Rhinolophus ferrumequinum: one gene and its partners. The protein of the gene in region 1 purifies or fractionates together with the protein of each later gene. This does not show direct contact. Links are inferred from orthologs where the notes say so. Each region holds a gene or a part of one and is shown on either strand. Other genes may lie near its edges. The genes, in order: FBXW7, NAP1L1, MED13L and PRR36.

The links.
Region 2: the proteins of FBXW7 (region 1) and NAP1L1 purify together in Homo sapiens (affinity purification with mass spectrometry, with the first as the bait; 3 studies listed by BioGRID). This does not show direct contact. The link is inferred for Rhinolophus ferrumequinum from reciprocal best matches to the Homo sapiens genes FBXW7 and NAP1L1.
Region 3: the proteins of FBXW7 (region 1) and MED13L purify together in Homo sapiens (affinity purification with mass spectrometry; 4 studies listed by BioGRID, with this or other methods). This does not show direct contact. The link is inferred for Rhinolophus ferrumequinum from reciprocal best matches to the Homo sapiens genes FBXW7 and MED13L.
Region 4: the proteins of FBXW7 (region 1) and PRR36 purify together in Homo sapiens (affinity purification with mass spectrometry; 3 studies listed by BioGRID and IntAct, counting the BioPlex papers as one, with this or other methods). This does not show direct contact. The link is inferred for Rhinolophus ferrumequinum from reciprocal best matches to the Homo sapiens genes FBXW7 and PRR36.

The regions. Positions count from the first base shown.
Region 1 is NC_046301.1:23,865,109-23,872,468, forward strand, and holds the start of FBXW7 (F-box/WD repeat-containing protein 7), read right to left. Parts: upstream 3,001-7,360; 5' UTR 2,832-3,000; coding exon 2,679-2,831; intron 1-2,678. UniProt on the Homo sapiens protein: Substrate recognition component of a SCF (SKP1-CUL1-F-box protein) E3 ubiquitin-protein ligase complex which mediates the ubiquitination and subsequent proteasomal degradation of target proteins.
Region 2 is NC_046293.1:70,495,121-70,502,349, forward strand, and holds the start of NAP1L1 (nucleosome assembly protein 1-like 1), read right to left. Parts: upstream 3,008-7,229; 5' UTR 2,854-3,007; intron 1-2,853. UniProt on the Homo sapiens protein: Histone chaperone that plays a role in the nuclear import of H2A-H2B and nucleosome assembly.
Region 3 is NC_046308.1:10,238,454-10,246,170, forward strand, and holds the start of MED13L (mediator of RNA polymerase II transcription subunit 13-like), read right to left. Parts: upstream 3,018-7,717; coding exon 2,946-3,017; intron 1-2,945. UniProt on the Homo sapiens protein: Component of the Mediator complex, a coactivator involved in the regulated transcription of nearly all RNA polymerase II-dependent genes.
Region 4 is NC_046301.1:56,861,107-56,868,373, forward strand, and holds the start of PRR36 (proline-rich protein 36), read right to left. Parts: upstream 3,012-7,267; 5' UTR 2,222-3,011; intron 1,698-2,221; 5' UTR 1,691-1,697; coding exon 1,423-1,690; intron 1,310-1,422; coding exon 1,210-1,309; intron 966-1,209; coding exon 853-965; intron 756-852; coding exon 1-755.

The DNA of each region.
Region 1 (7,360 bases):
TTAGTATAGCCTCTGGTCCAAATTAAGGGTTCCATAAATACGTGTTATAATTATTATGACATGATCATCTCGAAAGTACCTATTCAATCAACCCAAAAATCACTTTGCCTAGGCTACAAAGAGGAGTGCACACAGCCAATATGGTAAGCCATATAAGGAGTAAGCACTAGAATTAATAACATAAAGGCTACCTTTTTAAAAAATGATTACTAAAAAATATGCTAGGTACTAAAATAAGCTGTTTAATAGCATTATCTTTGTTAGAGAGCATGGGGAAAATTGGCAGTTCCAGAATTTAATCCCAAATTTGTTCTGTTAAGAACTAGGATAATTATTCAGAATACGCATTCTATTTAGAGAATACTGGATATCAAAAAGATAAAACAGCGCTCTTGGCAAAAGCATGCCGCCCCCCCAAAAGACAAGAAAAGTGAAAGGAGGCATTTCATTATCACCTACAGACCGATTCTTTAAAAAATTTGATCTTTCCTCCTAACTCCAACTTCTACAGCTTCCAGGTCAACTATTACCACACCTCACACTAGTATGAGCAAATTGATTTCTTTTTAATGAACATTTTAGGAGTATGTTTAAGGAACCTTAAACATGTTCATAAATAAAACTGATCAAGTAGATTAGTGGCAGAGCCTGGCTGAATCAAGTACAGGTAGGCTTTCAAGGTAAGAACAGGCAGTTCCCTGGGGCTAGAACTTCACAAAGTATACTGCTTATTTATTTTAAATGAAATACTGTATAAATACAGAACAATCATAGTATCTTCCATCTCTTCTAAACAATCTTTAAGAAAGAAATAGTCAACACTCTGGTATTCACTTATTTTCCTTCTATTTGCTCAACCCGTTGCAAAAAAGTTTTAATGTACATCATTCTACTGAAACTTTTATCAGTGACTAATTTGTAGATAACCTACCAGTTAACATTTCAATAATATTTGTAATTTAGACACATCCTTGACCAAATCTCAAATGACATTAACATACTTATGTTAGTATTATCAGTGTTCAGAGTTTTGTATTTTTTTTTTGCGGGGGGGAGGTGGGGCATAAAGTGATTACCTATTGAATAATAAAAGATTACAAACACTAGTGTTTAAATCATATTACAGTCTTCCATAATTAATGTTTTAAGCATCTCAATTCAGGATAAAGTACACAATGACACTGGTAATATTTGCATCTTTTAAGAAACACTAGGCCTCAAACACTAAGGGCAAGTATTTAAATACATTGCAAAGAAAAGCTTTTTTCACATGGTAGTTTCAATACCATATAATGGTAATCTTATGCCCAATTTCTTTTATAGCAAATTATAAACATATTTAATTTATATAAGTGTTTTTAGATGTGGTTGGAAGAAATAGTGTCTCTATCATGGCAAGAACATAAACATGGTTAAAGAACATAAATTAGGGAAGGACAGAGAACTCAGTGTTTTTGTGTCAGATTCTGTGAAAAACACTTTACATACTAGATAACTAGAAAGGTAGAGGAGTTGGTGAGGAAGGGAGAGAAGGGAGATAATTTTATTTCCTAATGCAAGCCACTCAGCAAAAATTCAATGTAGACAAAGTCTTTTCTTTCTGCAACAGTAGAATATTCTATTCTACTTTAAGCTTTAGTCCTAAGCTTCTAAATTTGTAATCAATTATTTGTTTAAAAGGCATAGAATAAATATGAAAACGAAGATCATTAAAAACATAACCACTGAAAATTCATACTCTTGGAGATTAAGTTTTTACTTTGCTATATTCTTAAACATTACTTTAAAATAGCTACTATAACCTGCCTCCTTAGCGCAGTAGGCAGCGCGTCAGTCTCATAAAATAGCTACTATATGTTTTCATCAATATTCCTTAGAATTGGTCCAACTCAGATTTCCTAAATCTTGTTATATCCATGAAACCATTAAGAATGCAAAAGGCCAAAAAGATACAAAACAATTCTAACACAACCGACTAGTGTAAGAATTTACCATAATTCCATTATTATATTTACAGCAAGAGTTTGAAACTGATGAAGTTTGCAAATGTTAAGAATATTTTGTTTCATTTAGATAATATACGGTAGCTAAAAAAAATTCTTATATTTTCAAGATATGTTGATACATCTGTTGCTGCTGAGCGAGGAGTAGGGAGCAGAGAGATTGTATTTCATTATTTTCAAGGCTACTAGTACCAATGAACTTTTTATGAATTGATGAATGAAATAACATATAATCTCTAAAAGTTCACGGGGGTACTCAAATTAACTAAAATTATTGAGGCCTCCCAAAACCTAAAGCAAAGAAAACGAAAAAGGAAAGCTTACTTTCTAATTTTTAAAATAAGTGCTGCTGCTTTAAGTAGCTAGCAGTCTCACATCCAGTCCAGGCTACAATCACAACATCCATTAGAGCGCTCCACAGCTCAGAGCAAGCAAGCAAGTGGTTGTCAGTGCAGCTAGTAAATCACCTGATCCTATTACAAAATCAATTACTGCAGTGCATTTCCATTGCTACACAATCTGATGATGACAAAATGATATTGGATAGCTACTGCAAGGTCAAGAAAACTGCTAAGAATATCTTTAATTGGTCTTTTATTTTTAATCATTTGGTACTAGTTATAATGCATCCATTTTAATTGTATATTTTTATTTGAAATAAATCTATGTAGTTACCTTTGGTTGCCTGGGACAATCGATGGATAATCTCTGCAACTGGTCTGATGTATGGCTACAAGAGAACAGATCGGAGCAGCAGGTCGAACGGTTCAACCTCTTCATTAAAGAAGAAATAATGCTGCAGCCACAGCCACACATTGACTTGCTCATTAGATGAGGATTTAACTTTAAAAATCAGAACTGGTGAGGTCCCATATATACTCAAAATTGGCTAAATGCCTCATTCTGCAGCTCTCTGGCTGAAAGAAACACTGTTAAAAAAGAATAAAACAGCTTCCCTACAGAAGGTACCAGCCACAAACTCATCGCCAAGAAGAACTCGATACTAAAAACAGAAGTCTCCCGGCTACTCTTTAGAAAGAAGGTAAGGTGCTTTAATATTTCAAACTGTGTTATATTAAAACCCAAGTCCTTAACAAAGGAGCAAACTCAAGATAATATACCCCAAAATTATACTAACCACTTTTTCTGTCCTCCATCAGTTTAGATCTGTTTGCCTACTCCTTTAGCTCAGCCTATCCAACCTGTTCCCTCTGTAAATGCTCACTATTTCAACAACCAACAGGAATGAGCCCCACCCCTCCCTGTCCCCATACACACTGTTCAAGAACCGCTCAATATCTGGAAAAGAACTGCTGCTGCATTGCTCTGAGAAACAACAGGGAGCAAATTACTGGACGGATTCTTTAACTTACCAATCAGAACTGCTGACCTTTTATGACTCCACGATTCAAGAAGCCTGCCAAGCACTCACAGTAAGAATAATCAACTGATTTTACTTGTATATTATAGATTAATTTACAGGATCATTTTCAATCTTATTAAGTCAATCTAAAACACAGAAACATAGGCATAAGAATTTTTAAAAAACAAAATTTATACAGTAGCTATTAAAAATCTATGAGTATTGCTGGGAGGGGGCAGGATGGTCGTTGATATGCATAGCAAAAATTCTCTCTGAATATTGTACTTAGGCTGGAGAAATATGGAGCAATAAAGTTCTACAGTAAAAATAGTGGTATAGATAATGATAAGCCAAGGAGTCCCCTGACATCATAAATGTTAGAAGAGTTTTAATGAGGAAAAAAAAGGGCTTGTGGCTATAGGTAGGTATTGATAATAAGTGAAAAGCCATTAAAAATCTGGTTGTTTTGACACTGAATCTTCTCCAACTTGGGTTATTTGCATCTCATCAAAAAGATTCAAAAAATATAAACCACCCTAAAAATATAAGCAAAAGTATTAAGTATGTTAGCCATACTGTAGTATATTTTATACTGAAGCATCCTTTTTTGTCAATACTGTGTAAAGGCATTTATTTACACCATGTAACTATAATCCACATTATAATTTCCAGGACAAGAGAGGGTCACATTAATACAAATATGTTATAGTCTTCCCAAATAATCATACTTCAAATAATTGTAACTTAGTGAATATTCACAGACCTACGATTATCAATCTTTTTTAACAGGACCCTTTTTTGAGGAAGATAGTCTAAAAACTAAATGTAATAAGAAACACCTTGAATTAAAATGTATATTTTAAAAACTTCCTGTGTTCTGTGGCATTGAAAGGTTCTTTATTTGTACATGCCTCACGCTCAATTTCTTCCTTGGTTTAAAGCTAAAAAGAGCCAGTATTGCCTCTTCCTTCACCTTGCACTGCCCTTTTGATATCATGTTATACTTAAATCAATTTCCAGAATATCTAAAAACAGGCATGCACTTCACATTGAATTTTTTAAAAAAACCTGTTGTAGATAAAGGCTGTGGAAACAAACAAGCAAAATAATGCAGTAACCTTTTACTCGCCTGCTGGAGGTACTGTCTGCTGCATAGAATTTTAAATCCTCATCTGCAGATGCAACTGAGCTGGTATTGCCAAGAACCGCTTTTCCTGCGTGCTGCTTCACAGCTATTCATCGAAAGAGCACATTATGTGGAAAATGCGAAGTACTATCAGTTTAAGTTGCTTATACGATTTAACAACAGAACTTCTAAAATCTAGAATCTGTCATATTTTCAGATGCATGTCAGACACACTGGGGAAAGGTCTTATTACAGCTGATGCACACTCCTCCTAGCTAATGTGCGAGACTGGGAAGCCAAGAGAGGTAATGAAAACATTACTACAACATCCTAACGTAGAACAATGTACTGAGCATTAAAACCTCCTATGATTTCTATTATCGACAAATGTATAACATGCCCAAATAATTTGAGATTTTTATTACCTTTATAATTAACAAAAGCCTATAAATAAATCATTGCGCCTAATATTACAGACAAGCATCAATAAAAATCCCCACCAAATGCATTTTGCTATGAATTGCTAGCTACTCAGCATCAATGTTGTTTTTAAACAAAACTATGAAATAAAAGACCCAAAGTATAGATTACTTGTGAAATAACTAGACATGTAATGCTTCACCCCTCTCATCCTCCTACCAATACCCTCTGGATCTTATATTAGTTATAATTAAAATAGAATGGAAGCAATAAGGGCTATTTTCATTACATATTATTTTTCCTTCCGTGTCAACTAATTTAATGTACTATTGATTCATACAGATAGAAGAAGGCAGCAAACCAATAAAAATAAAGCCTTAAAAACTATCAGAAAAAGAAACATAATATTGTTTAGGAAAAACGGTTAATATTTAACTTTAATAGTCTAGCTATAGATACTTTTAAAAAGAGACAATACTAATATTTGCTCACCAATAACAATGAAGCAACATTATTTTTTAAATAAACTGCATTTTAAAGTTGTGCTTTTCGCCTTAATTTTAAGTAACTCTAAATATCAAAAACTTGTTTCAAAAATTTAACAATCTATTTCTATTTAATTAATTTCTACTTCTCTGAGAAATAAGGTAACCATTCTACAAGGCACTCTAAAAGATGTATAATTTACAAACCAGACCATCCTCCCTCAATGCCCAAATTTATAAAGTAAGCACAAGCTAACTTCAATAGTTACCCTAAAGTAAAATGTATCAAATAGAAACTTACCCAATGGACACTACTATATGAGAGTATTTTTTAAAACTATTCTTTCATTTAAAACTCTTTACTGCCATATATAGTATCCCCGTGAGAAATAATTCTAGCAGTTCTCAAAATATGAATCTTTGGGATCCCTGAGACCATTACATGGAGTCTACGAGATCAAAATTATTTTCATAATATTAAGATGTTAATTGTGTTTTTCACTATCCATGTCTCGAGTACACACTAGTAAGTTTTCCTCAGACGACATATCATATATAGAGACTTGAATGCATAAGCCAATATGAGAATTCAACTTTCTTCCATTAAGCCAGACTTCAAAGATACTTGCAGAGATGTAAAACAATGTCATCTTTCTCATTAATTATTTCACTTCAGGAAAATATGGCTATTTCCAAAAAAAATATGTTAATTGTGTTAACATGTAATTAGCTATTACTTTTAATTGAATTTAATAAATGAACACTTTTAAAATTTAGTTTTACTTTCTAATAGGGTAACTATTGAGAGATATAACCCAAATAAATCAAAGCTCTTTGAGGTCTTCAATAGTTTTTTAAGAATGTAAAGGGGTCCCAAGCCAAATAAACTGAGACTCACTAGATATTTCTGTTCACATTTTTCCTTAATTCAAGGCTTACAGTTTGGGGTTATAAAAACAACTTCAGTAATTTTAAAAGCAATGATTCTAAAAGCATTCACTTTAGAATATCAAATATAAAATGCTTCTGAATTTTCACTGATGTCATTTTAATATTCAACTTTCAGTCATCTTAATTATTGAGTATAATTATTACCAGCTGTGTCTCACAGTACTGTTGAAAACTAACATCTATTTTTTTAAAAGATGTATAATAGATAACTGCTAATTATGATGTCCATGCAGTAAGACATTAAAATTTAGCTGGCAAACACATATAGCTTGAAAAAAAAAAAATCAGTTGTTGGGAAAAGGAAAAATGCAAGATTATATATTTTTAATATAAAAAGAAACCGTAAGAACAGTTTCTAAAATTCATCTTGCCTATACAAAATCAATTGTTTTAAAAAAAATTTTTTTCATGAGAATACATAAACTTTAAATAAAAGACATCTCCAAAAGGGATTGCCTTTCAGTAGTAAAGAGATGATTAGGGAAGAAAAACTTTTAAGACTATATGAAAGACAATCAGAGAAATTACAGTATAATTGAATTATTTTATAGCGATTCCTACTGCTGAGACTATGTTGAAAGTTTGATATTTTAAGGCTTTACAGTCCCATGAGGGAGAGATGGCATCTAACCCCCTAAATTTGTAAGTACTAGCCGACATTTTCTTCGGTAAGTCCCAAAGGGTTAATTTTCAAGGGGGTTCTCCTTGGTTCTGTCCTTGGCCAAATCCCATGTCCTCAGTTTTTCAAGAGCTCTGGTTCCCATTCATTCGTTTATTCACTTATTCAACTATTTACTCACACCTACCATGTGTTATATAGGTAATGAAGATGGACCAACACACAAAACAGATAAAAATCCCCCTGCCTTCACTGAACTTGTTTATTCCAGGGGGAGAAGAAGACACACAACAAACAAAATAAATATTTACTATAGTAGACGGTGATAACTGCTAAGGAGGAAAAAAAAAATCAGAAGGAAGGACAAAATGGCCAGGAAATGCCTCATTTTCT
Region 2 (7,229 bases), on another chromosome or scaffold:
ACCTTGAAGCTGAACAGATTCTGCCTCTTTTAGCCCCCTTTCCTACAAAAGACTGTATATTTAACAAATTTTGGGATGTTTAGAATCAAATCAGTCAAGTGGATACTATGGGCAAGTCAAGTAAATAATGAAACAAGCAACAGCATTTTGGATTAAATTAGTTCTGGTGCAAATGGTTATTTTTTCATTTTGTTTTTTCAGTCTCTAGAGGACAAAGACAGTCAAACACCACATTTAGTATTAGCTTAATAACGTTCTCTGTTAATAGACCCAACATCAAAAATAGATACTTTGCAACACATAAAATTTATCGATTTTCAAACAGGTATAGTGAATTTTTAAAAACTATTTACAAAATCAACGTAACATTGACCTGAAAAGACAATGAAGTCAAGCTTTTTATATTACATGTCCAAACAGACCTACCAATGTTTAATTTCACCTACCCTCTATCTTTCTTAAAAAGTGAATCGCACATTTTAGATTTGGCGCATTTGAACTCGGACAACTTTGAACAAGCATTTGAGACTTAGTACTCCCAGATCACTGTAAACCTCTTTTACCTCCTATCAATTTTAAATAAGTTAATCTACATACAACAGGTTTTCAATTATCATGGTTTCATTCAATGTCAAAGTTGATTAGATACTCTGACAACTTAACCCTTGTTGATAACCATTAGCCTTTCCTAACACTGGTTTCCTTATACATCGTTTCGCTTAAAGTCAAAGAACCTATCCATGACATTGAGGATTTACAGTATAAAGTTTTCCCCTTATTCAAAGATAATGTGGGGCAGGCCCGGTGGCTCAGGCGGTTAGAGCTCCATGCTCCTAACTCCGACAGCTGCCGGTTCGATTCCCACATGGGCCAGTGGGCTCTCAACCACAAGGTTGCCAGTTCAATTCCTCGAGTCCCACAAGGGATGGTGGGCAGCGCCCGCTGCAACTAAGATTGAACACGGCACCTTGAGCTGAGCTGCCGCTGAGCTCCCGGATGGCTCCGTTGGAGCGCGTCTTCTCAACCACAAGGTTGCCAGTTCGACTCCCGCAAGGGATGGTGGACTGTGCCACCTGCCACTAGAAATAAATGGCAACTGGACCTGGAGCTGAGCTGCACCCTCCACAACTAAGAATGAAAGGGCAACACCTTGAAGCTGAACAGCACCCTACACAAGTAAGATTGAAAGGACAACTTGACTTGGGAAAAAAAAAAAAGGCCTGAAGTACACTGTCCCCAATAGTCTGTTCCCCTTCCCCAATAAAAATCCTTAAAAAAAAAAAGAGAATGTATATTATTTCCTAAGTAAAATAAATGTAGAAGTAGTATTAATTCAAGTTGACAAGAAAATAAGACCTAAATACTAATTTGAAACGCTATTTTGATGCTAAATTCAAAAATGGCAAATTTCGTTTTAAAGCTCAGCTCTCCACAAACCAGGCAAGCGGTGTTTTCATTACAAAAGTAACTAATCAGACAGTGATGGTCTAAAATACGGGTTCCTTGAGGACATCCTGCACTCAGTTCATTTTTTGTACTGAAACCCTAGCATTCCCAGATAGGACTCCCTTTCCCACCCCCCTTCACTGCCTTCTTTCTTAAGGAAAAAGTGGGGTCACTGATAAGGCAGCAGGTTACAAACTTGGATCAATAAGTTTACATTAACTATTCATTCCATTCCCTAGTTTCTCCACCATACCCCACTCATCTTAAAAGAGCGAGTATCTCATTCTGGGAACTACAATAAAGGAACAAATTTATAAGAAAATATTAGTCCTTGAAAAATTAAAGACATTGCAGACTAAATCCTCTAGCATTGCCATCTTAGAACCATTTAGAGGATTACACTGATTAGGATCAATTCTCCCCGAATAAAAAAGCCTGGTAGAGACACCCATCCAAATTCTAACTGGGCTTGAGCTACACAAAAAATCTTTTGTTAAGAACAACTAACATTAGCATTAATTCTTTTAAACATCTAGCACTGATGGCCCTGCTTCATTATCCATCACCTAACATTCGTACTTTCCTCCAGAACCAATAAAAAGGTGAAGACCAAAGAGAAGCAGGGATGAGTCTGAAACCCAGGGGCTGAACCTATGGGCTCACTATTCCTTTTCACATCCCACCGTCTCTACAACTTTCAGTAAGGACAACAGACACAGGGGTCGCCAACCTGTCCTAGGCGGCGGCCACGTGTCGAAGGAAGCCGCCGGGGTTTCCCCGCCCAGCACGGTCGCCGCCTCCAATGGGCGGAGAGCCCCAGAGCCTCGCAGCCTCCCCGCCCCCTCCCTGCCTCGGGGCCTCGTCCCTTCACAGCCCCTCCCTCCCATCGGAATTCGCAGCCTCCACCTTTCTTTCCATTCCCCAGCGGCCTCTCTCCGGGTACTAGTTTTGAGAAAGCTGGGACAGCGAGGCGGCAGGAAACTAGGCACTCGCGCCCGGCCCGCACCCCGGGAGCCTCCCGGCCCCTAGCGGCGCGGCCGTCGCCTCTTCGGGGCGCCTTGGGCGACGCCGCGGCCTCGCCCCCGTCCGCGCGTAGAGGCCGGTGGAGCTCAGGGCACCTCGGCGCAGACTGGCACGGCCCCCGACCCTCCCGGGCCGACCAACCCCCCGCATCTTCTTAGCCCGTTCCCGGAAAATGCGCCGGCCGATCCCAGCGGCCTCGCAGGCTACGGGGTCGAAACTCCGCGGACGGCTCCGGCTCTGACCTCTTAGGACGAGCCGAGAGGCCCGGAGCGGCCAGCAGCCGCTGCTCTCGGTTCCGTCCCCCATCCCCCCGTCCCTCCCCTCCGCGCCGGCCAGCCGGCCGACATTACGTTCCTCCTTCCCTTTCAGGCCCCCATCCGTTACCGGTGGCCAGCACGGGGAACCAGGCGGCCGGAGCTGCGCAGACAGTGACTCAGGGAAGCGGCGGGAGGAGCAGGAGGCGGCGCCGCGAGCAGATGGCGCTAAAAAAGACCCGAGAGCCCGCTGCTCGCGCTCATATACAATTAGCGTCAGCACGTAGGGCCCGCTCAGCCGCCCTCCCCCGGCCTCGCCGTCTCCTAGCAACGTGAGCGGGAGGCGGGCCTAGGGCGGGTTGCATAGCAACAGAACTGTCCTTCTTCCCTGGCGACCTCCAACCCTCTGCGCCTTGCTTAGGTTCCTTGGGTTCCTGCCGCCGCCCCCTACTACGTACCCGCCAACTCTTCCCCCACCTCACCTTGAAAGGAAATCTCAACCCCTCCCGCTCTGGGAAGGGCCCTGACCCGGGCGCCTGGACCGGTCCACCTCGCCCGCCTAAGTGTGGTGCAGGGAGGGATGAAGGTTGGGGCCAGCCGCCCCGTGTGGGCTTGCCGCATCCTTAGGGCGAGTGCTCTTTAGTTTCCGTCCTCTTCCCAACCTAATTCCTGCAACTCCCCTTCCTCGTAACCATTTTCTCTCCCTGCCCACTTTTTCCCTTTGGCGGAGTCTTCTACCGGTTTTGCTTCTCCTCACTCAGTGGACCTCCATGGCTTCCTGGGGTGCTCCTCATTCTTACTCCAACATCCTTTTACTTGACGTGCGATCCCTCATTTCCGCTTTAGTTCTTTTGACGGATGTTTTATGGCATGTTTGTGTATTCTCCGGATCCTTTATAATGAGGACAGTCGTTTCATATTCCTGAAAAAGGAAACCCTATGTAAATCCTCAGGACTGTGAAATTGCTTGGCTAGTTTTCAACTGATGCAGGATTGACCAATATCCACTTTAATAATGACTAATATTAAAATAGTGGTTCTCAAAGTGTGGTCCGAGGATTCTCGGACTCTTTCACAGGTGAAAGTCAAAAGTATTTCCTAATATTTACTAAAGCGTCATTTGCCTTTTGCACGCTCATTCTCTCACAGTGCAGTTTTCCAGAGGCTACATGACATGTGATATGGAAACATGGAAAACAGAAGCAACTATTAGGATCCAGCCATCTGCTGTTAAACCAGAGAGAGATTTGCAAAAATATAAAACAATGCCATTCTAACTTTTTGTGTTTTAAAAAATAGTTACTTTGGTCAAACCATGGTCTTGGCGCCAATTCAATGACAACAGGAACCCCCAATTTGTGGTAAACTACATATAGCTCAATCCTAATACAGCATAGCTATAGAGCTGTTTAATTATGTACGAAATAGCAGGACTGTGAGGCTGCCTGAGCAGAGTCCCCTCTCTAATAGATAGCTCTGTTCTCCTCTGCTTCTCCCAGGTCCACAAGCCTCTTCAGTATTTCAGGTCCAGCCAGCGAAGCACAATCTTTAATGGAAAGGAAAAGTGCTCTCTCTGAGCCACTGGGGAGCTGACTTATACAGAGAGAGGTACCCACTCCTGGTCCCCGATTGGACCATCTTCATGCAAATGAGGACTTCAGATCCTCACAGTTTGATTGGTCCAAAAAGCACTGTCCTCTTTGGTTAAAAGGGAGCAGCTCTGATTGGTCAGTGACATACATTCGCTTATAGAGTTGTACAGCTTTGATTGGATGGGGAAAGTCTCAATCCTATTGGTTGAAATGGGATTCCAGAAACTCCTTTAAAAGGGTTGATATTTATCATATGCTATGAGGCAGGCGGGAGGCAAACGGCTTAATGTGGGAGCGAGGCAGCTTAGTACAGGGTTTTTCTTGAAGCATATGAGAGAAATATTTAGAAAATGGTTGCGAAACTCTGGTTTTAAATTTGAGCCCTTCTTAGTGGGTATCTTCTGTTTTGGGGTCAACGTTTCTCGTATAAAATATTCTTTATGTTAACATTTAATTGGCTTATTGTTTTTAAATAAGATAATGAATAACAACTCTTAAAATCTACTCTTAAAACTTCTTAATTTTAATTCTAATATGACAAATATCAGTAATGCACATAAAAGTTCTTTGTAATCCTCAGTTTTTTAAAACTGTAAAGGGGTCCTGAGACCAAAAAATTTGAGAACCTCTTCTCTAAATGTTTCGTCCCTTGAAACTTCAAACTGCCTGGAGTCATCTTTTGTAATCCTCACTCCCATATCTCATTGAAATGCATTGCCTTTCCCACTCCATGCGACAGGTGCTCAGTTTATCCATTCATTTTTGTTCTTCATGTGTGATTCTTTTGTATTTCTCAACCTTATTTCTTCATGTACGTCATACTTGACAATGATGTAAGGCTAACAAGGATTATAATAACATCAGTGATGATTCCTCATGAAGAATCCACAAAACATAAACTAGGTAGGCCAGTGTCCAATATGTACATACACTTGGCACTAATTTCAGTGGAGGCCTCAAGAGCGCTCTGCATTTTATTCAAAGCTATACATAATGCAAGATAATCAACATATTAAAAATGAACTAAATAGCTTTCTCCTTTCCATAAACCTTTTCAGTGGTAGAACTAATGAGACTGAATTGAGAAGTTAGCTTTCATGATGGTTTCTGTCCCACTCCAGGGACCCCCACAAATTTCAGGCACTGACCAAAGTCTCCAAATTTCTGACGTTTCAACCCCCACTCCCATATTTAAGGGCTTATCATTACCAGTTTATATACATTATTTCCCCCTTTTCTACAGCACCCTTCTCCAGCTCTTTCCTCCAGCTTCCTCCTCCCTTTCTTTTAAGGTGTCCTAGCTAACCTAAAAGTGAAATACTAATAAAGTGCTAATAATGCATATCTTTTAATGTGATCTTTTCAATCATAGTTTGTAAGTCTAAACCTTGGCTACTTAAGTCCAGGGAAGGCCAATCATTTATACATTCATTCAACAAATAGTTATATGTTGGAAACAACTTGAGACACTGGAAATACAGTATTGAACAAGATAGACAAGGTTCTTGATTTTATTGAACTTACGTTCCAGTGAGGTGGGGCAAGTGACAAACGAGAAATGAAATAATTGTAGATATTAGTAAGTGAAAGTGCTATGAAGAAAATAAAATGAGACAAAGGGGTAGAAGATGACTGACCTAAAGAAACCATTGAGATTTGCACGTTGACCCCTCAAGTCACACAATATAGCTAACTCATCTAATTACTATAAATTGTGGCCCTGGTCACTGACCTTGGACCATGCTAAACTTCCGGTTAAACTTCCTTTTTGCTTCATCTCCCATTATTTTCAGTTGGTAGATTTTTATAGCATTGTAAAAGCCTGGTGGTTTAGAAGTGTGGCTCTTTGGGAGTCAAACAGCCCAAGTTTTGTCCCTATTTTGTTGTGAAATTTTAAGCAATGTGTAAATTGCTTAGCATGGTACCTGACATTTAGTAAACACGCAACAAAAGTTAAACATCATAAACCTCTTACATCGTAAACTTTTGTTTTTGTTTTAATTAATGGTTGGAGAAACTTCCCGTAAGTCTTCTAATAGTATCTAACACATTTTTGTGAAATATTTTATCAAAAGCTATCTTGTCACAAATTTTGAAACATGTTTTCCTGAGCTGAAATGATCCACACTGATTATCACAAAAGTACAATATCCCATATTTCTAAGTACTGAATACAGACACTGTAGAGATCAACCAGATAAGACAGTGACAGAGATGATATTTTAAGTGTGCCTGTGTCTGTATTTCAGCCCCTAAGTAGTAGGAAATACATAGGCTTGAAAGTCAGACAGGCGTAGATTCAACCAAATCTCTGACCTCCCACATGTATCTGTACACTCTGACCCTTAGGTTTTCCCCATCTGTAAAGTGCTTTAATAATTCTTTTTTTTTTTTTCCTTTTTAACAGGATCAATTTACTTTATTTTTCTTGTATAAATTATGTGGCGGCCACAGCTGGAGCCTGGGTTCTCTACACAGAATCTCTGGTGTGGGTCTTTACAAGATGGTCCGTGAAGGGAGACTTGATGAACACAGTCTCTGTCCAGAGGTCAGGGGTGAAAGAGCTGCAGGTCTTTGACTTATCAAAGGTGGCCTTGGAGAAGTTGCCCAGCATGGTAGTGCAGCCCCTGGCTGAGGTAGAACAGTTGACAATATGAGCCATCATCAACAGCTTCTTGGGCACAGGAGCTGAGAGATGCCAGTGCCTCTGGGGGCAGGGATGAGGTGCACAGCACAGAGCCACAGCTGCAGGTCACCTTACAAAGGACAGTGTGGGGCTTGCCCATCTTGTTCCCCGGTAGACTCGCTGCACAGAAACAACGGAGAGCTTGGCCAGGATGATGGCCCCACGGATGACAGGGGCTACCTCCTTGGAGCACTTAACACCCAAACCCACATGTCCTTTGTAGTCCCG
Region 3 (7,717 bases), on another chromosome or scaffold:
ATAAGAAACATACAATGACCCATATCATGTATACACAATGGCATTTTCATGTTAGGAAAGGGGGGCAGGATTTGACAGAGAATTTAGGAAATTTAATGCCACAGAAACTGATGCAGTAGAAAATCAGAAAGCAAAATAAGTAAAGGACTAACAAAAATCTTAAGGCACCTGATTGATTGCACAATCAACTTTTGCTAAACCATAATGAACACCTCAAGGTAATACAAAGTTGGTGGGTCATTACTGTGGTACAGACTTTAATGTCCTGTTTATATTTCAATCCATGTAAATGTGAGTATCTGGGTAAATTCTCTATAAACAATACTTTTCTCTGCTCAAAAAACTGCAGACCAAAAAGAAAAATATACGCTATTATTAAGTATATAGAGTTCTTACAATACATGCTTTATTTTGAACAGGTGATGATTTTATCACGTTTGGAATTAATTATTCCATACAATGTACTTTAGGCAACATATTTTTAATAGTCTAGGTTGTTGCTGTGTGTGATTTTCAAGAAAAATTCTCAATTTGGAATGAGAAACGTTTACAATAATCAGCAGCTTTTTAACTGAGTCACAATTTTTTAAGAAAATTAGCACCTTATCCACCCGCCACATACAAGTGAATGTAGACATTTCAGTCCTTTAAAAAATTTCAACTCATGCATTTCTGCAGTTCTGAATTTCCAAATTGCAAACTAAAGAGTAATTCTGTTTAAAAAAAAAAAAAGTATATTCAAAAATCAATTCCTGGTTTAAAGAGGTTTAGGACAGAAATATCCAAAGCACAAACCTTTATTAGGCCATAAAGCACAGCATCCTCTCATATAAAATTGTTTATTTCTCCAAAAGAACCTCAATCATCTTATCTCTTTAACATTATTATCCTTACTTAAGCTTAAAAAAAAAAAAAAGAAATATATCCTACAGACTGGCTATACACATTATACACTTTCATTTGTCTACAAAATCTACTGTATATAAATCAGCCACATACATAGAAGACATTACCAGTCAGCATGATATATGGTAATTTGGAGGATCCCTTCTCACTAACATTGGTCTACTTGGTTATTTTAATTACCTGTTAAAGTGTCAATGTGGTCACCAGCCGCCAAACAAAAACCATTTTAAATACCCCTTAATCAATATATTTGCTAATCTATGAAAGTCCCTGAACCTGACTGACACTAAATGATAGACTGAGAGGGAGGAAAGAAGAGGAAAAATGAGTTTTATTCCCATATATCAAAAGATCAAGTGAAAATCATCAGCACTGAGAGGAAGAATCACAACTTATAATTGAATTTTAAGATTAAATATCTGAATAAAAATGCTGGGGGAAAAAAAAAGTTGACCTGATCTTACTATAGTGAAAGCAAGGATACTATGCCAGTCTTGTAGATAAAAATCACGTTTTGATTTTTTTATCTGCATAATGAAACACATTTAATAAAATAACACATTTGAAAAGTTGGCAAGAATTTGTATTTACCCACTAGTCTCAAAGAAAAAAGCATCTATGGTACTCATAATTAAGTGTAAGTAATTACAATTTCAACACTAAATTATTTATCCAGTGTAAACAAGGATTAAGAGAAAATAATGTTTCTATCTACAGCAGAGGTTACAGAGAACAATTTCCAAAAATGCATCCTGTCCAAAAGGCAGTCCCCCCAAAAAGGGTACGCAACTTAAAATAAGTTGGGGTTTTTTTTTTAAGGCTAAATTAAACAAACCGTTTAGCCAATTTTCCAATTATATTCTACGCTTCAAACATAATTGCCTTACATCTGTTTACAAATCTTTGCTCAATATTTAAACAAATTCGTAGTCTCCCGGGCACATAGCTATACATACAGTAACTCATGCACAAAGCACATATTTAAAGACCACGCACTGCCATTATTAGCCTAAACGCCAGGTTTAACAACGTGAATGTTTTCAGAGCTAGGTAATACGACCCAATAAAAAGCAAAGATGGCATTTACCACCAAATGTCACTGCCACCGCCAAGGAAGAGTTGCTGGAGCCCTATACATTTTTAATTTCGATGAATCTAGACGCCTTCGTCGGGTGCCAGGCTTCCCGGAGAACAATTGACACCCTAACTGCTTCAAGATTAAGGCAGGCGATTCAAATCCGAAGGAAAAGTTGTCAATTATCAGAGAGCGCGCGAGAGAGGCGAAAGCAGATAAAAGCGATGTTATCAAACCGCCCAGCTTGTTGCTTTTTTGTGTGTGTGTGGATTCGTTGTCAGGATAGAGAAAACAGTTTTTAAAAGACACAGGAGGAGAGAAAAAAGAAAAAGCTTTCTCCACCTTCCGTCGGCTCGGTGCAATGGCTTTAGGGCTCTCCAGCGTAGTAAGCCCCGAGAGGCAGGCGGCTGTCGATGTTTACAATCGCGGGAGCTTCGTGTGCAAGAGTCCTTTACTGACACAATCGCATTCAATCAACTGTTTTGGGGCGAAATTGCAGGTGTCATTATGGAATTTTTTTAAAAAATTCAAAAGGCGGGCGGGCGAGCAGCCGATCCGACAAGGGGGGGGAGAAGGCTGCTTCGCAGGCGCGGGCAGCACAAGGCAAAGCCTTTCACATTTAGGGGGAAAAAGGGGGGAAAGGGGTGGGGAAGGGGGGTGTGATTGCAACAGAGGGTGGGCGTTCGAAGTGCGACCCAGAATCAGCAGCTTTGAGACTTCCACATGCAAATTCCACGCCGAGCGCCGCGCTCACAAATGATTTTTAAAGAGCCAAATAAACACTGGATGGGATCCAAGGCGAGGGAGAGACGATCCAAAAGGGGGAGAATCGGCAAGAGGCGAACAGCGGGGAGAAGCGAGGGAGGGGCGAAGTCCCGGCGGCGGGAGGAGAAAGTTGGTCGGCGGCGGAGGTCGTGGACCCCCCCCCCAATACGGCCCCCCTCCCCGCAGCCCGGCTACTCACCAGCGAGAAGAGGTTGGAGTGACAATCCTCCAGGCTCGCCCCGTTCGCCACCCAGTTCGCTGCCGCAGTCATGATCCTCCGCGAGCCCGGCCGCCAGAGCGGGGCATGTCGGAGCGAGGCGTCCGAGGCGAGGCCGGGCCGGGCGGCGGCGCCTCGCTGGGGAGCGCGGGGCGGCCGGGCCGCCGCCGCCGCCGGGGGAGGGCGCGAGGGCCGGCGGGCTGGCGGCAGGCGCCGCGGCGACGCCGCGCCGGGGGCGGCGGGCCCGGGCCGGCGGGGGGGTCCGCGGCGGCCGCGCGGCTCCTTCCTGCTCGGGCGGCGGCGGCGGCGGCTCCCGCGGCTCCGGCGGCGGCGGGGGGCGCTGTCCGCGCGGCCCGGCGCCCTCCCCGCTTCTCAGGGCCGCTGCTGCCTCCCGGGCTGGCGCTGCGGGCCGGCCGCCGCCTCCGCCTTCCCTGTTCCTCAGCCGCCGCCGCCGCCGCCTTGTTTATCTCCAGCCACCGACTCCCCCTCGGCCCCCGCCGGCGCGTGAGGGGAGGCGAGCCCCGGAGCCGCCGCCGCCGCCTCGGAGCCGCCGCCGCCGCGGAGCGCGAACTCGCGAAGGGGGGGGTGCGGACGAAGCCAGCGGGCGACCCCGGCAGCCGAGCGACGTCCCCTCCTTCCTCTTCCTCCCCCACCCCCCCCTCCTCCCCAGTCAGCCTCGCTTCTCCTCCCTCCCCGGGCTCGCTCGCTCTGACAGCAATGGCGGCCGCCGACCGCGGCTCGGCCCGCCATTGGCTAGCGCCGAGTCACGTGACGGGCGCCGGCCGCGCGGGGGGGCCGGGGGCTGGCGGGGGAGGGGCCGGAGCGGCGGCGGCACGCCGGCGGCTCGCGGGCGGCGCTGCTGAGCTAATCGTGGCCGGGTTCTCCGGCCGGGAGACCGAGGAAGACGGAGAAGGAGAGAAAGAAGTGCGGGTGGCGCGGCTCCCGGGCGGGCGGCGGCTGGCGGGGCCGAGGCTGCGGTGGGCTGCTTCGCGTGGGCGCCGCGCCCCGCCCCCTCGGGGGCACAGATCTTTGCGGGGCGCGACCGCGAGCCCTGGGAACGCTGGTGGCGGCCGCAACGGAAAGCTCCAGTTCCCTCGCCTGTGCCCCCGATCGACGCAGGCCGGCTGGCGTGGCGGGGGCTCGCTGTGAGCCAGGCAGGAGGTTCAAATGCTACGGGGAGTGTCTCGTGGAGGTCGCACTCCGTTGTCCGCGTTTTGCAGATGAGAAAACTGAAGCACAAAGAGATTAAGTCAAAGAGATTAAGTCACTTGCCGAGGTCGCATAGCGGGGAAGAGGAGGCGGAATTCGAACCCCTGCACCCATGCACAGTGAAGCTGAGCTCTTACACTAGGTTTTATAAGCCTCGCCCAGGGATATACATGGCTACCACTTAGCGCTTACTGTGTAGGAGGCAATATGCACGGAATACAGACATGCCTTTGAGCCCTTACTGCTAGGCATTGTGTGCATTCATTCATTCATTGCATAAATCTTTCCTGAGCTCTTGTTCTGTTCCAGAATATAACTGCCAGGCACTGTACTAGGGCTGTATTGGGAGCAGACCCTCCCTCTTGGCTCCGTTCATTCAATAATGTACATTTCCTGATCGCATATGGCCTGGGAGTCCAGAGGAGTGCGGGAATGAGAAGGGTCTCCCGGTTACTCACTGCAAAGGTGGGGAGGAGAGAACAACTTCACTAACAAGCCCCAAAACATGGAAAAGCCAGCTGTTTTAGGTGCATTGGACTAAAAGAGAGTAGGAACATGGAGTGTAATAAAAGAAGTCTTACACACATGAATTGAGCTTTGGAACTACCACAAATAACTACTACAGGAAAACGCATGAGCAGCATGTTATAATGTATTATCATGGCTGACACTATGTTATAACGAATATACATACATTATTGCACATGACCCTCAGAACAACCACATAAAGAAGATACTGTTATTATCCTTAGCCTAAAATAAGTCTCAGACATGCAGTGACATCTCCAAGCTGTCCAGTTACTGAGTAACTCAAACCTGGGTCTATCTAGCTCCAGAGCCCAGACCTGAATCCAGAAGGCTCCAGGAGCAGGTGCCTGTAGTTGGCTTGGGCACCCCTGGTTGTGTTACCTTGACCTACATACAGTAGTCCCCCTTATCTGCGGTTTCAGTTAGTTACCCACGGTCAACAATGATCCAAAAATATTAAATGGAAAATTCCAGAAATAAATAATTCCTACGTTAAATTGCATACAGACCCAAGTAGTGTGATGAAATCTCTCACCTTTCTGCCCCGTCCTGCCTGGGATATGAATCACCTATTTGTCTACCATGTCTATGTTGTACATGCTACCTGCCGACTTGGTTATCAGATCGGTTATCAGAGAGAGATCACAGTCATTTTAATTGTAATATATTGTTATAGTTGTTCTATTTTATTATTAGGTGTTGTTAATCTCTTACTATGCCTAATTTATAAATTAAAATATCATAGGTAAGAAAAATAGAGTATATATACAGTTTGGTATTAACCGAGGTTTCAGGCATCCATTCAGTGGGGTTCCTGGAATGTATCCCTCGTGGATAAGGGGGGACTGCGTTTAATTCTCTAAGCCTCCTTTCCTAACCTGTCAAAAAGAGATCCTAATTGCTGACTCACTGACCTCAGGTCAATGTTGTGCATTTCTATTAAGAGATTGGTGGTGACAGTGTTTAGAAAAAAAAGCCAAAGCACTTTATCAATATGCACAGTGTTACTTAGGACTGAGCAAGGAGACGGTATGATGGTCCGTCATATCTAGGTGTATTTACATCCCAGGAGGCCTTCATCCTACACACTTGGTCACCAAATTCTCTTTGTTCAGCAAGTTTAGATTCAACTTTTTAAGGTCTCCCAGAGCAACCTAGAAGAAAAATGAGCAAAGGACATCAACAACTTAGAGAATAGGAAAGACATATGGCTTTTAAACATGTTAAAAGATGCTCAGCCTCGCTCAGTGCTATGGACTGAATGTTTGTGTCCCCCTAAAATTCATATTGAAACCCTAATATCCAGAGTGATGGTATTTGGAGATGGGTCCTTTGGCAGATAACCAGGTCATGAGGGTGGAGCCCTCATGATGAGATTAGTGCCCTTATAAGAACAGACAAGAGAGAGATTGCTTTCCTTACCCGTGAAGACATGACCAAGAAGAGGGCTCTTTCCAGGAATAAAATTGGCCAGCACCTTGATCTTGGACTTCCCAACCTATAGAACTGTGAGAAATAAATTTCTGTTGTTTAAGCCACCCAATCTATGGTGATTTGTTACAGCAGCCCACGAACATTAAGACACTCATCATAAGAAAAACAGAAACTAAAACCGTAATACGTGCTGACAATATTTTAAAAGCTTAGGCAAATGTGGAAGGAGCAGAACTCTTATGCACTGCCAGTAGAAATACAAATTAGCACCACAGCTTTGGGTGTCAATTTGGAGAATTTCAAAATGTATAATGCACATATCCTGTGACCCAACAATTCTACTTCTAGGAGTTTATCCTCCAGAGATACTTGAGTAGATATATAAAGACCTGTGTGCAAGGACATGAACTGTAGTACTGTTTGTAGAGCAAAAACTGGCAGCAACCTACATGTTCATCATTTAGGGAGTGGTTAACAATATAATTTAATGCCACGTAACCATTAAAAATAATGAGTTAGCACTATGTGTACTAATATAGGATAATCTCAAAAATAGATTATTAATTGAGATATCCCTGGGAGATTGTAGTAACATCAGTTGCCTTTAGGGACGGGAGTCAGCATGAGGAGAGGAATTTCTTTTCACTTGCTGTTTTTCCTTTCTGTCTCTTCTCTGTCTCTCTCTCCCCCCCTCCTCTATCCATCCTTCCCTCTTCTTTCTTTCCTTCTTTCCTTCCTTCCTTCCCCTTTCTTTTTACCAAACTGTGTATATTATCTATTCAATGCAATAAGTTATGAACACCACCAATCAATCAATCAATAAAAATGAAAACTGAATAATCAAATGGCACCATAAAAGTACATTTATCAGCAAGTAAACAAGACAAACAAAAAACAAAAACAAAAACCCTCCTCTGAGGCGATCTCTTTGACTGTCAAAGCCGAGGCCCCTGAGTGGAAAAGGCCAGAGCACAGCATGTGATTGTCCTTGCCAGGTGAGTACAGAATGAGAACGCAGGGAGCAGAGGTTCTAGCCTCAGACACGCCACTGAGCAGCCCTGTCGTCTTAGACAAGCCACTCAACCTCTCTGGGCCTCAGTTTCCTCATGTGTGAAAAGGGCAGCCGGGCAATCCTTCAGTCATTTCTAGCAACAAAACTCTTTGACTCTCTGAACAGTTGAGATGACTGATAAAGATCCGCGGAGTTCTTACTCAACAGAGAAAGCAAAGGGAGTTGATGGAAAGCCTCAGGAGATAAGATGAAAGGCGAACAAAACAAAACCATCAACTGACTACGAGGAAGCAACAAGGCAGCAGGCACTCGGAATATGGAGTCCAGTTTCCTCGGTGTGGGGGAGGGGTGCTCATCACAGGCGTCCTTATGACTTGGTTTCCCCCTGTGTCGGAATGCCTGCTGCCCACACAGGAAACAGACGTTCCACTCTGCACTAGCCTCAGATCTCACTCTGAGAATGACAGGTTAGTTCCCTTTCATGGTTACCAAATGTAATGGCAGAGAGAAAATGGAAGCAAAAATATAACCAGAGGAGGAACCACCTATTAGAAAGACCACAGGAAGCTGC
Region 4 (7,267 bases), about 33 Mb from region 1:
GGTGGGGGGTGTACTCTGCAGAAGGGGTGAACCTGCAGGAGAGAATGGAGCCAGAAAAGTGGCCGTGGGATAGGCGGGTGCCTCGGGAAAGGATGTACTCAGGTGTATGGGTGGAGCTTGCAAAGGGGGTGTGGCCGGCGGAGAGGGGAGGGCCTGCAGAGAGAGTGGAGCAGAGGGAGGAGGGGCTAGTGGGAAGGGCGTGGCCAAAGTACTTGTAAGCGCCTGGGAAGGAGGCGTGGTCGGTGGAGAGGGCGGGAGCGCATCCTGCAAAGGAGTGGCTGTGATATCGGTAGGCAGTGCCAGCTGTGCGTTTGGACAGGGAGGAGATGATGTGGCCAAAGGAGAAAGGCTCTGCAGGTTGGCTGCGCCCTTCCTTAGGGGTGCGGCCTGCGGGGGGCGCAGAGCTTGCAGCCCTTTCGATTTGGGCTGCGAAGGGTGCCCCAGAGCCCGGGGTGTTCCACCCAGCGAGGCCCCAGAGCGGGCTGGGGAGGACAAAGGGGTGATGCTGGAGCCCAGGGGGCGCGAGGCTGGCCTCTGGAGGCCCCCGCCGGCGCTGGGTCGCCTCCTGGCGGCAGAGCTTGGCTCCGCGGTGCTGCTGCGCTCTAGGGTGCTGCTCACTGATTTCCTGGGGACCTCAATCTGGGCCCGGGGACGGGCACTCGAGGCTGCCCGGGGAAGCCCCCCCTCAGCGCCCGCACCTCGGGTCCGACGGGAGCTGGCTGGAGAGGGGACGTTTGGGGTGGGCCCGGAAGAGTCTGGGGATAAAGCAGAAGGCCAAAGGGTCATCGATATTCTCAGGCTGGTCCCCCTCACTGCCCAGGAGCCCTGCTCCTCCCTGCCCAGGAAATGTACCTCTCCGGGCCCCTGCATTCACGGTGCTTCTTCTGGGAGCTTCTGGAGTTCTTCCTCTGCCCACAGGTTCTTCAGCTGGGAGCCGGAGCCCCTTCTGCCCAAGAAGACCTACCCTGGGGGTGGTGGTGATAGAGGGTATTCAGGGTAGAGCCACCCCCTCCTTGTTTGACCTCCCATGTCCACATTTTGCCATCTGTGAAATGGGGTATATGGGCTCACTGCCTACCAAGAATGGCTTTCACCCAATTTGAGCCCAGTGATCTGCAAGTGTTCCCACGCCCCAATTCATGTATAAAATTAAAAGGTTCCAGAGAGTGATACTAACCTTTGCCTAAGGAAGGGGGTAAGGCGTGTTACCTGGTGGTCCCACTGGCACTTCCTGGGATAGAGATAGAACCCAGACTCGAGGTCTTGGCCGAAGTTCGCTCACCTCGCCCCGCCGCTGGGGTCCTGGAGGCTGCCGGAAAAAGGTCCAGTCTATGCGGTGATCCGGGAAAGCAGGGAGAGGCTGGTGCCTCGGAAGGAAAGGGGGGCAGGGATACGGGGTTGGAATCGGGGAAAGAGGGGTACCTGGGCTCCGGGGACCTGTCCCGGGGCTCCGCATGGGTCCCACGCGAGGAGTTGCTTCCGGGAGAGCGGCTGCCCGGATGCCCCCGGCTCTGTCAGCCAGGGGCCCTCGCCCTGCAGCTCCCGCTGCTCCCAGAACTCGGAGGGCTGCGCCGGTTACAGGAGGAGGGGGTCGTGGAGACCCTGGGGGCCTAGGGGTCGGAAGGCCGGGAGGGCGAGAAGCCGGCGTCCGCGCGGCGGTCCCTGCCCTGGACTTGTCCCTCTTGTCCATCCTGTACCTAATGAGAAGACAGACTGGTCAGCATCCCAGATCCTGGACCGTTACGCAGCCTGCAGGGACCTGTTCCTGGCACCTAGCTGCAGCTTCCCCAGCGTCGCCACCCATAGGCGCCCAAACCTCGGCCTCCATCCACTTCCCTCTCACCCACCTACACACCGGCCGAGCTGCTCATGATTTTCCCCAAGTCCCACCCCCATCGCCCTCCACCAGACCCTGCCTGCCCCAGCCCACCTCCCCACCCTCCTGCTTCTGCTCCCCTTCGGGATCCAAGATCCACGCCCCTACCCCTAGACCACCAGCCTCGGGGACTGGGGGCTGCTACAGACTCCAGATGGGATGGGGATGGAGCGTACTCCCGGGTCCCCTCGCCAGCCCGAGGGACGCCGGCACCTGCCGGGAGGAGCAACTCCGGCTGCCCGCGCACTGGCTCGGGGAGACAAAGAACCGCGTAACGAGCGCGTCCCCCTCCCCCAGCCGGACCCGGGCCGCGCCGCCCCCTCCACCTGCTGCCGCGGCTCTCACCTCCCGCTCGGGTCTCCCGCGGCTCCACGCAGGGTCGCCTAGGGTGGGGCTAGGTGGCAGCGCCTCGGCGGCCGCGAGCAGCGGACAGGCGAGAGGAGGGGGCTGCGGGCTGTGGCGCCGAGAGCCGGGCCCGCCCCTCCGCTGCGGGCTGGGGAGACCCGGGCGCACGCGCCGGATCCAGACCCGGGAGGCGGCGGGAGCGCGCCAGGGTGGTGCGGACGGAGGCGCGGACTGAGGCGCGCGCTGGAGGGAGGGGCGGCTACTCCGCGGCTGCGCCAGAGTACCCGCTACCCAACCCGAGGGGATTCGGAGGAAGAAGGAATTCACACACAGACACACACACACACACAAACACACACACACGTCCTGCCCACCGCCTCTCCACCCCCACACCCCCACACACACCTGTCCCGGCCCCCACAACCACCTGGAGACCGAGGCTCGCCTGAAGGGATAGGCTGGACCCTGGCAACTAGGGGGCGGGACCATAGCACCTCCCGCCCCGTCGACCAATCCAGCCGCAGCCGCTCTCCGGAGGCCGGGCCTTCCAGGGTCGCTGGAGGCATCCGCCCCTCCCAAACACAAAGGCTTTTCCCAGACCCCAGCAAGAACCCTACCCGGTATGGGGGGACTACTGGGAGAATGCATCCCTGGGAATTTAGGGGCAGAACCCGGATTTGGGAGAAGAGAGGAAGAAAGGAAGGTCGAGAGGGAGAGAGAGAGACTGAGTATGGTGAGAGGTAAGCCAGTCTGCTGCAAGGCAGGGCACCCCCAACCTCCACACCCTCCTAGGTCACATGAAGAGGCGAGGTCAGGTCAGTAAAGGCTTCCTAGCAGAGCCAGGCTTTGGGGGACCAAGATTATGAGAGTTTGGGAGGTGTCAAAACGGGCGCATAAAGGAGCAGAGACGATCTTGGTTGATTTCAATAACTGGAGCACTTTTGTTTTCTTCCCGTGCTTTAAATTCATCAATAAAGAGTGAGCTCACAAAACCCTAGGCTCCCACACTCTCTACCCCAACAAAAGCAAAACCCCAGGTCACTTACTTTCATTCTCTCTCTTTTTCTCTCCCTCTCGCCTCTTCTCTCCCCCATCCTCCCATAAGCACACTGTGTGGCCCCAGGTGTGCTATGTAATTTCCAGGTCCTACAAGGTATCTTACAATCATAATAACCACCAGGGCTGGTCCAGCCACAACATTGGTGATTAGTAGCCTGGAATCGGCCCAGAACACTCAGGTGTGGCCGGAAGCAGGGGTTTGGATTTTCTTGATTCAGGTTCAGGGAATGGAAGAAAGAAAGAGAGAGAGAGAGAGAGAGAGAGAGAGAGAGAGAGAGGCCAGGCTTAGAACTAAATACCCTGCTTTGACCAGTAGGAGCGATCTTCAGAACCCATCGTTTCCATGAACCCTCCCTCCAGCCTAGGAGAGATGCTTCTCAGTCCATCACGGCACTCCCCTCCGTATTGGGTCATTCTAGGCCTCCCCTCCTTCCCAGGTCTACTGAAGGTCACCTGTGTGAGCCCCTCTGGCATGACAGCTGTCTGGTGCCCCTGCCTCCTCGCCCACCCGTCCACCAGCAGTGCCCTCCTGAGTCATATCTGCTGCCCAGAGGCCTGCCCTCCTATTTTCTATGGTGCAAGGGTCCCTCCAAGACTTAATTGAACCCATCCTGAATTTCAATGAGATCTGGACTCTACCCTCATATGAGAACATTCCTCAAATTTGGTCCACCAACAGGGGGATGAATTGCACAAAGCAAACATACCCTACAATGGAATACTCAGCAATAAAAGCAACAAGCCACCAAGACACCCAAAACAGGGACACATCTCAAAAACATTCTGCTGAACAAAAGAAGACACACACACAGAAACACACACACACACACACACACACACAGAGCCTTCATTGTATGATTCCATTTATGGAACATTCTGGAAAATGCAAGCTAATCTATAATGACAGAAAGCAAATCAGTGGTTTCTGTGGGCCGGTGAGGGAGGGAGACTGTTGGACCACCCATTGTAGTCACTCTCAGATTCCTGACCCTCAGAAACTGGGTGAGATAATGAACGCTTGTTGTTTCAAGCTGCTAGATTTGGGGGTAATTTGTTATGCAGCTAGCTAACTATCTGAGGGTCACAAAACCTTAGAAGCTGGGTATTAATTGCAAGTGTTGGTGAAAATGTGGAGAAATGGAAAACCTTGTATTGGTGGGAATGTAAAAATGTGAAAGACAGTGTGGAGGGTCCTCAAAAAATTAACAGAGAACTACATAAAGCAGCAATTCCACCTAAAGAATTGAAAGCAGGTACTCCAAGAGATTTACACTCTCTTGTTCACAGCAGCATTATCCACAATGGCCGAAAGGTGGAAACAACCCAAGTGCCCATCGATGGATGAGTGCATAAACAAAATGTGGTCCATCCATACAATGGAAGATTATTCAGCCTTAAAAAAGAAGGAAAGTCTGACACCTGCTACAACATGGACGAACCCTGAGGACATGATGCTCAGTGAGAAAAGCCAGACACAGGCGGACACACACTGTGTGATTCCCCTTATATGAGGTCCCCAGAGGAGTCAGATTCATAGAGACAGGAAGTAGATGATGGAGCCAGAGGCTGGGGAGCGGAGTTAATGTTTAATGGGGACAGAGTGTCAGTTTGGGAAGAAGAGGAAGTTCTGGAGATGGATGGTGGCGATGGTTCCACAACATTGTGAGTGCACTCAATGCCACTGAGTTGTACACTTAAAAATGGTTAAGAGGGCTGGCCCCTGGCTCAGGAGGGTGGAGCTCCATGCTCCTAACTCTGAAGGCTGCCAGTTCGATTCCCACATGGGCCAGTGGGCTCTCAACCACAAGGTTGCCGGTTCGATTCCTGGACTCCCGCAAGGGATGGTGGGCTCCACCCCCTGCAACTAGCAACGGCAACTAGACCTAGAGCTGAGCTGCACCCTCCACAACTAAGATTGAAAGGACAACAACTTGACTTGGGAAAAGAAAAAAGAAAGAAAAAAAATGGTAAAGATGGTAAATTCTGGGGTTTTTTTAAGTGTGTTTTTCCCAGGACCCATGAGCTCCAAGTCAAGAAATTGTTTCAATGTAGTTGTGGAGGGTGCAGTTCACAGTGGCCCATACAGGGATTGAACTGGCAACTTTGTTGTTAAGAGCACTGCGCTCTAACCAACTGAGCTAACCAACCACCTCTAAGATGGTAAATTCTATGTTATATGTATTTTCCCACAATTTTTTTTAAAGGCTGGGTATTATCCATGTGGGAAAATCCACACATTACCAATGGGAACGTAAAGAGGGCAGCCTTTCTGGAGAACAACTGGAAAGCATTGTGCGTGTGTGTGTCTTATGACCCAGGCTTTCCACTCGTGTCTGTACTGCAGCAGCACGCCCCCTCTGTATAACCTGAACACCCACAGTCCCCACGTGCAGGGAAAGTCAGAAGTGCCAGGGAGGTAACACCCCTGCATCCCCCTTCTCCAGAGCAACCCTCAGCCAAGACAGACAGGACCTGCGCATCAATATTTCAACTCCCTCGTCCCTTGGGTGGGACAACTGGGGAGGTGTGCCTTCCACCACTGCCCAGAGCTCCTCAGAAGAAGGGAGCCCCGGTTGCCCACAGTAGCAACCTTCTCATTCATCCTTACTGATGTACCCTCATTAAGGCTTGCTGCTCCCCTCCCTTCCCAGTCTCATCTCCCCACTGCCCCACCATTAGTGCTAGCGGGGATCACCTTCCAGATGAACTATTTGCACCCAATTCTTTGTCTCAGGGTTTGCAACCAGAAAATCCACAATTAAGATAACACCTCGATCATCCACCCATCCATCATTAACTGAATGCCCACAACTGTGTGTCTGGCACCATTTCAAGTGCTGGGGACACAGCAGGGAACAGAAGGGACCCGTGTCTGGGGCTAATGAGGCTTCCAGCCCAGTGACCTCAGACTCTTGCATAAGGGTGCCAAGCTGGATGTTCATTCCAAAACCAAGCTGGAAACAAACCTCAGGGCATGGAAACCAAGGCGCTTCTCTGGAGGCAAGAAGAGGCCATTGAAGGAGAGGATAACCCAGGACTTTACAGAGGTTGAGTCCTAGAGGGTAGCACCCATTGCAGGGTTTCACAGAGGAACCTAAGTTTAGGGCGTTCCAACCTTCAAGGTATCAGGTCTCAGGAGGCTGCTGATCTGGTGAACTCTGGGGCCAAGTGGGGGAGGGGTCTCACGCTCCCACTCTAGTCTAAATCCTCTTTGTTTTGCAGACAAAGCAGATCAAGGTTCATTCACACAGACCTGTGGGCTGAATCGGTCCTTTGGCTAGTCTAAGACCGAGAGCAAGCCTCCCTGGGTAGGGAGGAAAGGGTGAGCACGAGGGAGAAGAGTGGGGTGGGGAGGCAGAATCATCCTTTCTAGAAGCCAGCCTCCCAGACTGGACTCTAGCCCCAGCACCCAGAGCCCCTCTGGCCTCTGCACCCCCCCACCCCCACCTAAGGACCTGGGAGCAGCTAACTCCCATCTTCCCCCAGTGGAAAGCCAGCCTCAAGGCTGGGCAGGGTCGGACAGGCGAGCACCTCCCATCCACGCCCTTCCCCTTACCTCCCCACCCTACCCCCCAGGTTGGCTTTCCTGGGTGGGTGGTCAGGGAAGCCCCCTCCCTCTCCCGTGGACCTTGGTTGCAGGTTCCTCAAAACCAGGTGGCTGCACCTTGGGGTGGGGGCAGGAGGAGGCCTTCCCCAGGTTCCCAGAAGGATGTTGCAGGCTGACTTTGGGTGCGCAGTGCCTCCGACCCCTTCAGTATGTACCAGTCCAGTTTCTGCCCCATGGCAGCCAAGCCCTGAGTTCAAGGCCCTGCTCCTGGGGCCGGGCCCTGGCCCACCTCGGGAAGACCAGGATTAGGGTCGCCCTCCTCCAGGGATCCCCGGGCGCCAGGAGTCGGGGGCCACCTGGGAGCGCCCTGAGGGAGGCAGGGCCGAGACGTCAGGTGGGCGGGGCGGGTGGGGCGGCTCCCGGCTCCTGTCCCGCCCGCC